Xenopus tropicalis: one gene and its partners. The protein of the gene in region 3 interacts with the protein of the main gene of each other region in a biochemical or structural test. Links are inferred from orthologs where the notes say so. Each region holds a gene or a part of one and is shown on either strand. Other genes may lie near its edges.

What was found. The genes of interacting proteins can lie anywhere in the genome.
Region 1: of the proteins of uba1 (region 3) and ube2r2, one has a biochemical effect on the other in vitro, tested with the Homo sapiens proteins (5 studies listed by BioGRID, with this or other methods). The link is inferred for Xenopus tropicalis from reciprocal best matches to the Homo sapiens genes UBA1 and UBE2R2.
Region 2: of the proteins of uba1 (region 3) and ube2e2, one has a biochemical effect on the other in vitro, tested with the Homo sapiens proteins (4 studies listed by BioGRID, with this or other methods). The link is inferred for Xenopus tropicalis from reciprocal best matches to the Homo sapiens genes UBA1 and UBE2E2.

What each region holds. Positions count from the first base shown.
Region 1 is NC_030677.2:211,137,602-211,141,758, forward strand, and holds the start of ube2r2 (ubiquitin-conjugating enzyme E2 R2), read left to right. Parts: upstream 1-1,357; 5' UTR 1,358-1,472; coding exon 1,473-1,649; intron 1,650-4,157. Other genes in the region: uncharacterized protein DKFZp434B061-like, read left to right, coding at 385-503, 611-1,357. UniProt on the Homo sapiens protein: E2 ubiquitin-conjugating enzyme that accepts ubiquitin from an E1 ubiquitin-activating protein, and catalyzes its covalent attachment to other proteins by an E3 ubiquitin-protein ligase complex.
Region 2 is NC_030682.2:46,326,714-46,330,795, forward strand, and holds the start of ube2e2 (ubiquitin-conjugating enzyme E2 E2), read left to right. Parts: upstream 1-1,282; 5' UTR 1,283-1,597; intron 1,598-4,082.
Region 3 is NC_030684.2:539,130-541,487, reverse strand, and holds the end of uba1 (ubiquitin-like modifier-activating enzyme 1), read right to left. Parts: intron 1,973-2,358; coding exon 1,781-1,972; intron 1,697-1,780; coding exon 1,595-1,696; intron 1,502-1,594; coding exon 1,401-1,501; intron 1,129-1,400; coding exon 993-1,128; 3' UTR 501-992; downstream 1-500. UniProt on the Homo sapiens protein: Catalyzes the first step in ubiquitin conjugation to mark cellular proteins for degradation through the ubiquitin-proteasome system.

The DNA of each region.
Region 1 (4,157 bases), on a different chromosome or scaffold from region 3:
GGCGCCGTGCGTGTGACGTCACAAAAGGAGTGGGAGGCGGAGCCCTGGCGGGTCCGGCTGAGGTAGAGACCATTTGAGAGAAGCGAACAGTTGGGCCCGCACCCCGGGGATCGGAAGAGTCTCAGTCCCCGCACCGCCCCGCACCCTGCCCGGCCTGACAGCCTTCCGGCCCGCACTGCCTCCTCCTACACTGACACCCGGGCGGGAAGGGGCCACAGGCCCGTAAGCTGCACTGACCGACACAGGCCCGGGCTCTCTGACACTCACACAGGGGCCCGGGGAGCCCAGCCTGACACACACGGACCCAACTCACCCACCGGGGAGAGAGCAGCCTGAGGCCCGGCACCCACTGGCGCCCTGACAGGACTGGCCCAACTTACTGAGCCCCTGTGTGCCCTCCTTCATTCATCCTCTGCTGGGGGAAACCACTTCCGTGTGGCTGTAGGGGGGGCCCTTCCCTGCCCCTCACACTTCTATTGTGTGCAACTGTGCCCTCCCCCAAGGGAATTGCCTTTGTGTGGCCCCTCAGTATCCAGCTCCATTCACAGCCCCCCAAGGGAATTGCCTTTGTGTGGCCCCTCACTATCCAGCTCCATTCACACCCCCCAAGGGAATTGCCTTTGTGTGGCCCCTCAGTATCCAGCTCCATTCACAAGCCTTTGTGTGGCCCCTCAGTATCCAGCTCCATTCACACCCCCCCAAGGGAATTGCCTTTGTGTGGCCCCTCAGTATCCAGCTCCATTCACACCCCCCCAAGGGAATTGCCTTTGTGTGGCCCCTCAGTATCCAGCTCCATTCACAAGCCTTTGTGTGGCCCCTCAGTATCCAGCTCCATTCACAAGCCTTTGTGTGGCCCCTGAATCCAGCTCCATTCGCAGCCCCCCAAGGGAAGCCTTTGTGTGGCCCCTCAGTATCCAGCTCCATTCGCAGCCCCCCAAGGGAAGCCTTTGTGTGGCCCCTCAGTATCCAGCTCCATTCGCAGCCCCCCAAGAGAAGCCTTGGTGTGGCCCCTCAGTATCCAGCTCCATTCGCAGCCCCCCAAGAGAAGCCTTGGTGTGGCCCCTCAGTATCCAGCTCCATTCGCAGCCCCCCAAGAGAAGCCTTGGTGTGGCCCCTCAGTATCCAGCTCCATTCGCAGCCCCCAAGGGAAGCCTTTGTGTGGCCTCTCAGTATCCAGCTCCATTCGCAGCCCCCCAAGGGAAGCCTTTGTGTGGCCCCTCAGTATCCAGCTCCATTCACTGCCCCCAAGGGAAGCCTTTGTGTGGCCCTGGGAGAGACTTTAGTAGACCATTCCCCTTACAGGTGGAGGCCCCCAACCCCATTCCTGAGAGGGAGCCTGACTACCACATTGAGCTAAAGAAAGCCCCCCTAAGAGAAGAGACTTGCCCCAGGAGAGAATCTCTTTGCCCCCCCCCCCCCATACCCTGCTGGGAGAAGCACCCCGACCCTTACCTCCCACCTCTGCGCCCACCATGGCCCAGCAGCAGATGACCAGCTCCCAGAAGGCCCTGATGTTGGAGCTGAAGTCCCTGCAGGAAGAGCCGGTGGAGGGATTTAGGATAACTCTGGTTGATGAAAGTGACCTGTATAACTGGGAAGTGGCAATATTTGGGCCTCCTAATACCCTGTATGAGGGGGGCTATTTTAAGGTGAGTGCCTGACCTAAACATTTTTGGGGTGTGAATTCCAAGCTGTGTCCAGATTTATTTTTGTATATACAAAATAAATGTGTATCTGCGCCCTCTGCTCTTTAGGAATGATTCATGGAATTCTATCAGTCATCCCCTTTAATTGGACCTGCTGCTCCCCTGACTCACTGGTGGTTGGAGTCTACAAGTTGGGCATCCCTACCCTTAGGGTGAAGAAACATGGAGCTACTTAGTAGCAGCTACTTGTCACAGCTACTAAACACCAGGCCCTGCAATAGACAATACTAAGAATTGCCTCTGCTAAACACACGTACAGACAATTATCAGTAAATGATCAGCATTGTCTGTTTTAGTAGCTGCGATTAGTAGCTCCGACTAGTAGCTCCGTGTCCTTTAGGGCTCTGGTACACGGGGAGATTAGTCGCCCGCGGCAAAACTCCCTGCTCGCGGGCGACTAATCTCCCCGAGTTGCCTTCCCTCTGCCATCCCACCGGCGAACATGTAAGTCGCCGGCGGGATGGCAGACGCGGCGAGGCGATTTCGGGAAATCGCCGAAAAAGCCTCGCGAGTCTTTTTCGGCGATTTGCGCGAAATCGCGCCGCCGCGTCTGCCATCCCGCCGGCGACTTACATGTTCGCCGGTGGGATGGCAGAGGGAAGGCAACTCGGGGAGATTAGTCGCCCGCGAGCAGGGAGTTTTGCCGCGGGCGACTAATCTCCCCGTGTACCAGAGCCCTTAGGGTGAAGACACACAGAGCTACTAGTAGCAGCTACTAAAATAGACAATGCTGATCATTTACTGATAACTGTCTCTACGTGTGTTTTAGCAGAGGCAATTCTCAGTATAACCCTGCGATAAACAATATGGAGTTTAGTAGCCTTGAAAAAGTAGCTGCTACTAGTAGCCCAGTGTGTCTTCACCCCTTCACCAATTTGGCAGCCTATCTGCCTGTGTATGGGCCTACCTGACTGAGATCTGGCCTAAAAATTGAGCATATCTCAATCAGGCAGGTTTGATTTTCTGTTGCATCTGGGACTGCATTGGCTCATTGATGTGGTTCCTGATCCAACAGCACCTATGCCCAATGAAATTCAATTGTTTGGCCCAATATCGGGAGAAGATCAGCTCGCTTGGTGACCTCGCCAAACAAGCAAATGGCCACCTTAAGTGCCTAAGCCTTTAGCCCAGGTACTGGCTAGCAGGCTTCCTTTGGATCCGCTGTTGATGGCAAGAAGGTGTTTATGAGATTTCCAAGGGCTTGGGTTCTCATTACCTGTGATATAACACCATTTTTTTTTATTGTTAGCTCTTACGAGCACGGTAAAAACTCTGTTATCCCTAGTTTATTATCCACAGTGTGTGATTGATCCTATAAATGATTAATGCAGTGGAAAATGTAACTTGCCTTTCATGTGAGGGCTGTAGGAAGCCCATGACACTGCATTTGCTCTATGGCTTACCTTTAACCCTTACTGGGTAATGGCTCCTCCAGTGTGGCCTGTGATAGTGGTTCCCAGTATGTTGGGCAGGGCCACCTGTGGGGGCCCAAAACAAGAGACCCAACCTGAACCCCAGTAAATATTATAAGGGCATAAGTTGCTCCCTTTAGATACTCTGAAAGCCCAACTTGAAGATCATTTTATGATGAGAGATTTGGGGTAAACACCTATTTGCTCAGTGATCCACATCTGTGTATGTATGTGGGCAATTCAACTTTCATTTGTTTGTGTCAGTTTAAACTGAATCCTCTTGGCCACGCACGTTCTACAATACTGGGTCCGACTTAAGCCAATTGGTGACCTTTATTCTGGATTTACGGATGAGAGTCTAATCACTTTCCTTTATTCTGTGTTTAGCCATAGAATAGGGGCCACATTTATAGGGATCTTTAGTAGTCAGAGTGGGAAAGGGTAATCATTTTGGCCAGGACCCAGGTAAAATAATTTTACGATGTTATGAAAGTAAATGTTGGTTTATTATTGTGTGGGACCTAGGGTTTTCTGGACAAGCGGGCTTCTAAAAAAAAAATATATATAAACCCAATAGGATTGTTTTGCCCCAGTAAGGATTAATTATAAATTAGCTAGTTTGAAGTACAAGTTACTTTTTTATTATTACAGAGAAAGAGGGAATCAAAGTTAGACATTTAGGGTGAAGAGGCACGGGGTGATTAGTAGCTGCGACTTTTGGAAAAGTACCGATACAAGCACCGATAATATCGTACCAAACCTCGTTTCATATGATATTCGGTGCGTGTATGGCAAGTCGACCTATATCGCAGGAGGCTGCTGATATCGATCGACTCGCCAATCGGGTGGGTTAAAAGATTTTGATCGGGCGCCATAGAAGGCTCCTGAGCAAAATCTGCCTTCAGGGCTGAATCGGCAGAAGGAGGTAGAAATCCTATTGTTTTTACATCCTTATCTGCCGTTTCAGCCCTGAACGTTAGTGGCAAATTGAACGATCTTTTGTGCGACCGATGGTCACGCGAAAGATCGCAAATCGCCA
Region 2 (4,082 bases), on a different chromosome or scaffold from region 3:
CGATTTTTTTAAAAATAAAAACCATGGGGCCTAAGGGGCAAAGGTTGTTGATTACCTTGGTCTGTCAGAAGGTGAATAGCTTCCTCTGCGTCTCTCACTGAGAAATCGAGACCTGATGGTGAAACTGGTTTAGCACAGATAAAGAGCCGCAGAAGTGCCAGGAAAGTTCTGTTTATACAAGGAAAAATCAATAATCACTCTGGAAATGACAGGAATTGACAGGATTAGTAATAAACAGAATTTCTTCGCAGGCTATTTTCAATGTTCAGCTGCACCTGGAGGATTATGAGCTGGCCAGCCCTGATGCACATGAATGCTGCTGTGCATATATCTGTGTTGTTCTGGCACATATTTATGTAGGTTAAGAACACAGATAGCCATATCCCTAAGCCACTTCCTGTCTAACTTTTCAAGATGTGTTTTTCCTTGTGGAGTAATATAAATTGAGGCAAATATTCAACTAAATACCCTCTCCCCTCTTTCATTACTTCCTGTAATAAATAGTTTTGGTGAATAGTATGCAAAGTAACCCCCCAAACTTAAACCACTGGCTGTAATAGGCAAATAAATGAAATATCATTCGTGGCCCTGTGCTGTAACACCTGTGGCCTTTGCCACAAAAAAATGACATCGCAGATACTAATAAAGATTTAAAATTGATATGGAAACAATTCACTCATGCTCCTAACCACCAATACCCTGTAAAGAGCAATTACTCGCTGGGACAGTGCCCTGGGAAAACTTCTCATATACATGGAAATCCCACAGCACTAATGCCTTGCCAAACAATATGTGAGCCAGTGGCCCCATGTCCATGATAGGAAAAGCAAGAGAGAGTTATTCAGGGCCACATTTGCACTCGTCTGGGCAACCAGCACTGTGTATGCCTTGGCACGGCGCATACTGCTCAGCACTCCATAGCCGCAGCCACATAGAATATGAAGGACCTGCTGACACAGCAGAGGAACCCTGTAACTTCTACATCATTGCTGAGTAACACACAGCTCAGCTTTATATACCCCTTGAAGTTATTGCAGCCCTACGTTTTCTATTTTCTGCCAAGCGGTGTCGGGAGCGCGCACTGAAACACTGACTCCATGTGCTCGCCCCCTCCCTCACGGCCTCTTTTCTCCCTCTTTACATCACACTCTATTTGCGCGCTCCTGCACTCCTTGGGGCGGGTCCATCGACGGCGGTGGGCGGAGCCGCTAGGAGTTGTTCTGAAGAGGCAGCCAGAGAGGGCGGCGACATACATACCGTACTAATACCCGCCCCTTTTGCGCGTGTCCGTGCTAAAATAGGAGCCTGTGCTCTGGATGTAGGGGGAGAGCTGCTGAGAAATAGGGGATTTACCATATGTAAGCGGGGCGTTTGGCTTAATATTTCTTGACGACTAGCCCTACGCACTTACCTACACAGGTGCCTTGGGGTCCGGGGTGACTGTGGATGTGTGTCCGGACCCCGAAGAGGTGTGAAAAGAGGACCCCCCGCCCCAGGGAGACAGTTGAAGGAGGAAGAAGAGGAGGAGGAGGAGGTCAGGAAGAGCTGGGTTCGTGTGTTGCACCCACACTTTGTTCGGCACCGGGATTGGGGGCAGGTAATGATTTGTCTGTGCTTTCATACAAATGATTGGTCTCCCATATAAAACTGGCTGTACAAAGGGCACAACAGGATGTATAGGTGTTACATGTGCCAAAGATTGGGAATGCAGTGTATAGATGTGTCTATGTGACCCATAACCTATATACAAATGTAAGGGTACATCAGCTCCCACTACATCGTGTTGTGCAGCCTACAGCTGGCCAGATGGGCTACCATCCTACTAGCCAGGCTAGGACTTTCATATACAGATGTGCTGTACATTAGGGAGGGAACCATGTTACACACACCAAGCTTCACTCAGTGTAGATAATGGAATCTTTTCTGCATTCAGTCAGTCATGGTTGTCCAGCCTGCTGCCCTCATGCTGGGGTTTCACTACAACTCCCAGCATCCCCCAGTATGCTTTGGCTGGTGGGGTTTCTTGGAACTATGGCTAAACAAAAGGTTGAGGGCCGACCATTTATAAGCAGAGGATGTAGCCCCAGACAAGGACATATGTAAACAATTCAAGTTCAATATTAGATTCTGTGTTCCAAGGAGCTTGCACTCATTCTTATTATCATTTTAGTGTGTTGGTAGTGTACAGTTTGTACATTATTTGATCCAGTTTATTAGCAAATCTGTAATTTGTGGATAGTGTAGCTCAATGCTTGCTCAACCTATTGCATGTAGTTGGCTAATTATCCAGTAAACCACATGTACAGGGGCTGGACTTTGCTGAAATGATGATGTCATATAAAGTCTTTGGAGTCCATGAGCCTGCTGGGGGCCATGAAAAAGACTTGGAGATCTACATCTGGCTTGTGGGCTTCCAGTTGGACAGCGGAGGTGTAGCATATACATCTTGATTTTGTTTTCATTGTGCACTCAACTAATAGATATGTGTGCAATACTGACAGTGTAACCAGTGTTGGATTGATTAAAACATGTTTTGCCTGACTCTTAAATGGGAATTCTGTTGTACAGTATGTTGACTTGCTTTACTTGTTCAACGTGCAGGTGAAAAAAGTGCATATATCATTATATCATTTCCTGTAATGTTAGTTCTCTTAGTATTAAATGGCCTAAGATAGCCATGTGCACAAAGATCCACTTGTTTAACAAGGTTACTAAATGAGTTGACTTTTGCCTGATTTTGGGAATATTGAGTGACCCATATTTGTTCTGATTTTATTTTTTCTTCCTGGCTAACAGAAGAATCACCCTAGGGGCCTATGCAGACACTTCAACCCAATAAAGACTTCTTAGATGGTATAATTTTCAAACCAGGGCAATAGATAAATGACTGATCTCCAACCCAGTATTGGAGGGCTTGGCTTGGAGTGGCTTAATCAAAGACAGTGTTGGATTTTTTGTAGTCATCTTAAAGCTAATGATACATGCTTTTCAGCTGGTTTACATGTAGGGTTGCCACCTTGCGGGTAAAATTGATCCTTTATGATTGTAATATTAATAGGGACAATAGATAAAAAAAATATAGGAAGGCTGGTATTTTTTTCCAGTTGGTGCTTTTAGCCAGCTGCTGAGCACCCATGATTTATCATCCTAAGACTTAGAGGGAGATTTATCAAAATGTGAGATTAGAGCTAACCACAGAAAAATTCACCCACTTTCTATTTATTCCTGAGGGATTTTTAGAAACATATTTATCAAATGATGGACTCTAACTTTCACCCTCTGATAAACATGCTTCTAAAAATCCCATAGGAATAATTATTTGATAAATACATTTCTAAAAATCCCTTAGTAATAAATAGAAAGTGGGTGAATTTCAGAGTCAGCTGTGCGACTACACTCTTTATAGATATAATCTATATATCTATATCTATATATATAATTATAAATGTAATCATTTTATGAATAAGCAAGTTTTTTTTAAAAACAATTGATTGTGCAAAGAAAAACCCTGCACAATGGGAAAAAAACAGTAGATACCAGATAATAAAACAACTTACTAGTATTTTCTGACTTTGTTTTAGCTGAAACCCTGGATTAAATGATCATATAATCAGCCACTTAGTGTCTGTTACTTGCATTTTCATAGCATCAAGAGCAAAGACACATTTAGCTACTTAGTAGCAGCTACTTGTCATGGCTACAGAATGCCAGAAAATACCCTGCCATATACAAGACTGAGAATTGCCTCTGCTAAAATACACGTAGAGACAATTATCAGTAAATTATCAGCATTGTCTGTTTTTGTAGCTGCTACTAGTAGCTCCAGGTGTCTTCACCCTAAAGGGGATCATAGTGACCCATTTTAAGAACTTCCTAACTTGATAACTCAAGCCCTACAGAGAGAAAATGAACTGAATAAGTCACATAAATAAAGGAAAATATGATTGGCATGTAGCAATTTAAAAACATCCAGTGTTGTGCAGAATGCTACACAGACCGAAAGCTGCAATGTCATGTATAAATCGCTATGTGAGTCTGATGGAGAGATGCAGCTAAACCATGAGTGGGATAGCACTGTTCTT
Region 3 (2,358 bases):
CCCATCGAGCGCAGCCGGCCAACGCGGCCCATCGAGCGCAGCCGGCCAACGCGGCCCATCGAGCGCAGCCGGATGTGAATGACCGCACCAAGTCAGTCTGTTTGAGGGCCCCAGGAGCACTGAGGGGGTGCAAGTTTGGGCCCCCCATAACTGCAGTAATTGTTGCCTTGGGTACAATAAGGGGCGTGGCCCTATACATGCCAGTTTCTCGCTCACCTACCCAGAGTGCACAGGGCCCAACTAGGGATGGCCTTGCCTCTATTTCCCCATGACTGGGCATTGGTTGGCGGTGTTTCCTACCGGCAACACAAGTGGTTGCTATGCACTCGGTGCCTAGCAACAGCACACAGCTTGGGCTCTGTACAGATGCTGGGTGCGCAGGCGCAATCACCGGGATGTGCAGCCGCTAGTGGGGGGGTGGGATGAAGGTTGCCCACAGGCCCCAAGGGAAGGGCCGATTGCCCCCCGGGCACAGAGAATGATTGGCTGCGGCACAGATGGAATTTCTGTCGCTTTTATTTCTCCTCAGAATTGAAACACAGTATAAAGAAACATTTCCTACAGCTCAGCAGTATCCGGGCCCTCCCCGTGGCACTAATGCCCCCCCAGGGGCACCCCCATGGCTCCTCATGCATGTGGAACAAGGGAGGATCCCAATCACCAGCAGGGGGCAGTGCCTGGGGGGGCAGAGAGGTGCAAGCACAAACAAGACATGAAGCCAATGGGATGGGGGGGGTGTAACTGCTCTAAGAGCTGGGGGGGGGGGTAATAATCACGGAAAGTGCTTACAAGAGGACACAAGACAGCTGAGAAGATAATAAGGTACAGGTAAGGCTGGCGCACCCCCATTCCCCCCGGCCCCCCACAAACTATATGTTTAACCTCAGGGAGTGAACGGCAGGTCAGTCATGGCCGACCCATTAACCCCTGTGCCCGATCTGCTCCGGCGCCGGCGGCCCTCCAGCATTGGCTGGCTCCCAGGGGGCGGGGCCTCAGCGAATGGTGTAACGCACGTACGGAACCTCCACGTCCTCGTCGCTCTCATCGTTACAGCAGAGCTCGAACACCAGAGCCTTCACGTGCTTCCCGATCTTCTTCTTCGACACCTTCGTCACGATGTCCGTCATCCTGTGGGGGGGCAGAGGGCCCAGTTACACGGGGGGGGCTGGGGGGGTTACACAGAGGGGGCTGGGGGGGGTTACACAGAGGGGGCTGGGGGGGGTTACACAGAGGGGGCTGGGGGGTGTTACACAGAGGGGGCGGGGCGGTGTTACACAGGAGGGGGCTGGGGGGGGTTACACAGAGGGGGCTGGGGGGGGTTACACAGAGGGGGCTGGGGGGGGGTTACACAGAGGGGGCGGGGCATAACAGAGGGGGCAGACTCAGTAAGCAATACGTACGGCTGCTCCAGGCGCTCCTTCAGCTTGGCGGCCGGCATGAAGAAGGAGTAGAGCATAGACACCCCCTGGGACAACATGGTGATCTCCAGCTTGTGTTCCTCCTGCACCACAAACACAATAGGTGAGCGCCACATAGCGAGGGGGCGGGGCCTAACCACTTCCTGCCCCCGGTACTAACGACTTGCCCCACTCACCTTAAAGTAGTCCAGGAACTGTTTGAGCGTCATCTCGTCCCCGTTGCTCTGCACTCCCTTCACTTCAAAGCGGTCCCACAGCGTCCACTCGTTGTCATAGTACTGCGGGGGGGAGAGGGGCAGGTTAGGGGGGGCACATCCCACAATAATGTCCACCCTACCAACCGCCGGCCCAGCAGCGCTCACCTTGTGCTTGGGGGCAGCGATGGGCTCGGAGAAGCCAAAGAAGGGCAGCGCCAGGTTCATGAAGCCATTTTTGAAGGACTCCAGCTTCCTGTGGCCCTGGATGATCTTGTACAGCTCCAGGCAGACCAGCCCCACTACGGCCCCTGTGGTGGTGGCAATGGCCGGAATGATTTTGCCCGCGATCAGTTTGCTCTGTGGGGGGGAGGGGAGAATGAGTCAGGAGGATGGGGGGGCTCCACTGCAAAGCCTGCTGGGAGAGACACTGCCGGCACAGAGAATCCATCAGATGAAACTTAGTAGTTTCACATTAGTTCCCCTTTAATCAATACTTCCAACACCCAAAAATAAAAATGTAAGCAACTCCCCAATATCCACTGCCCCTCCCTGCACTGCTGCCTCCGACTCCCCAATATCCACTGCCCCTCCCTGCACTGCTGCCTCCGACTCCCCAATATCCACTGCCCGTTACTCTTCCCTGCACTGCTGCCCCCGACTCCCCAATATCCACTGCCCCTGTTACTCTTCCCTGCACTGCTGCCCCCGACTCCCCAATATCCACTGCCCCTCCCTGCACTGCT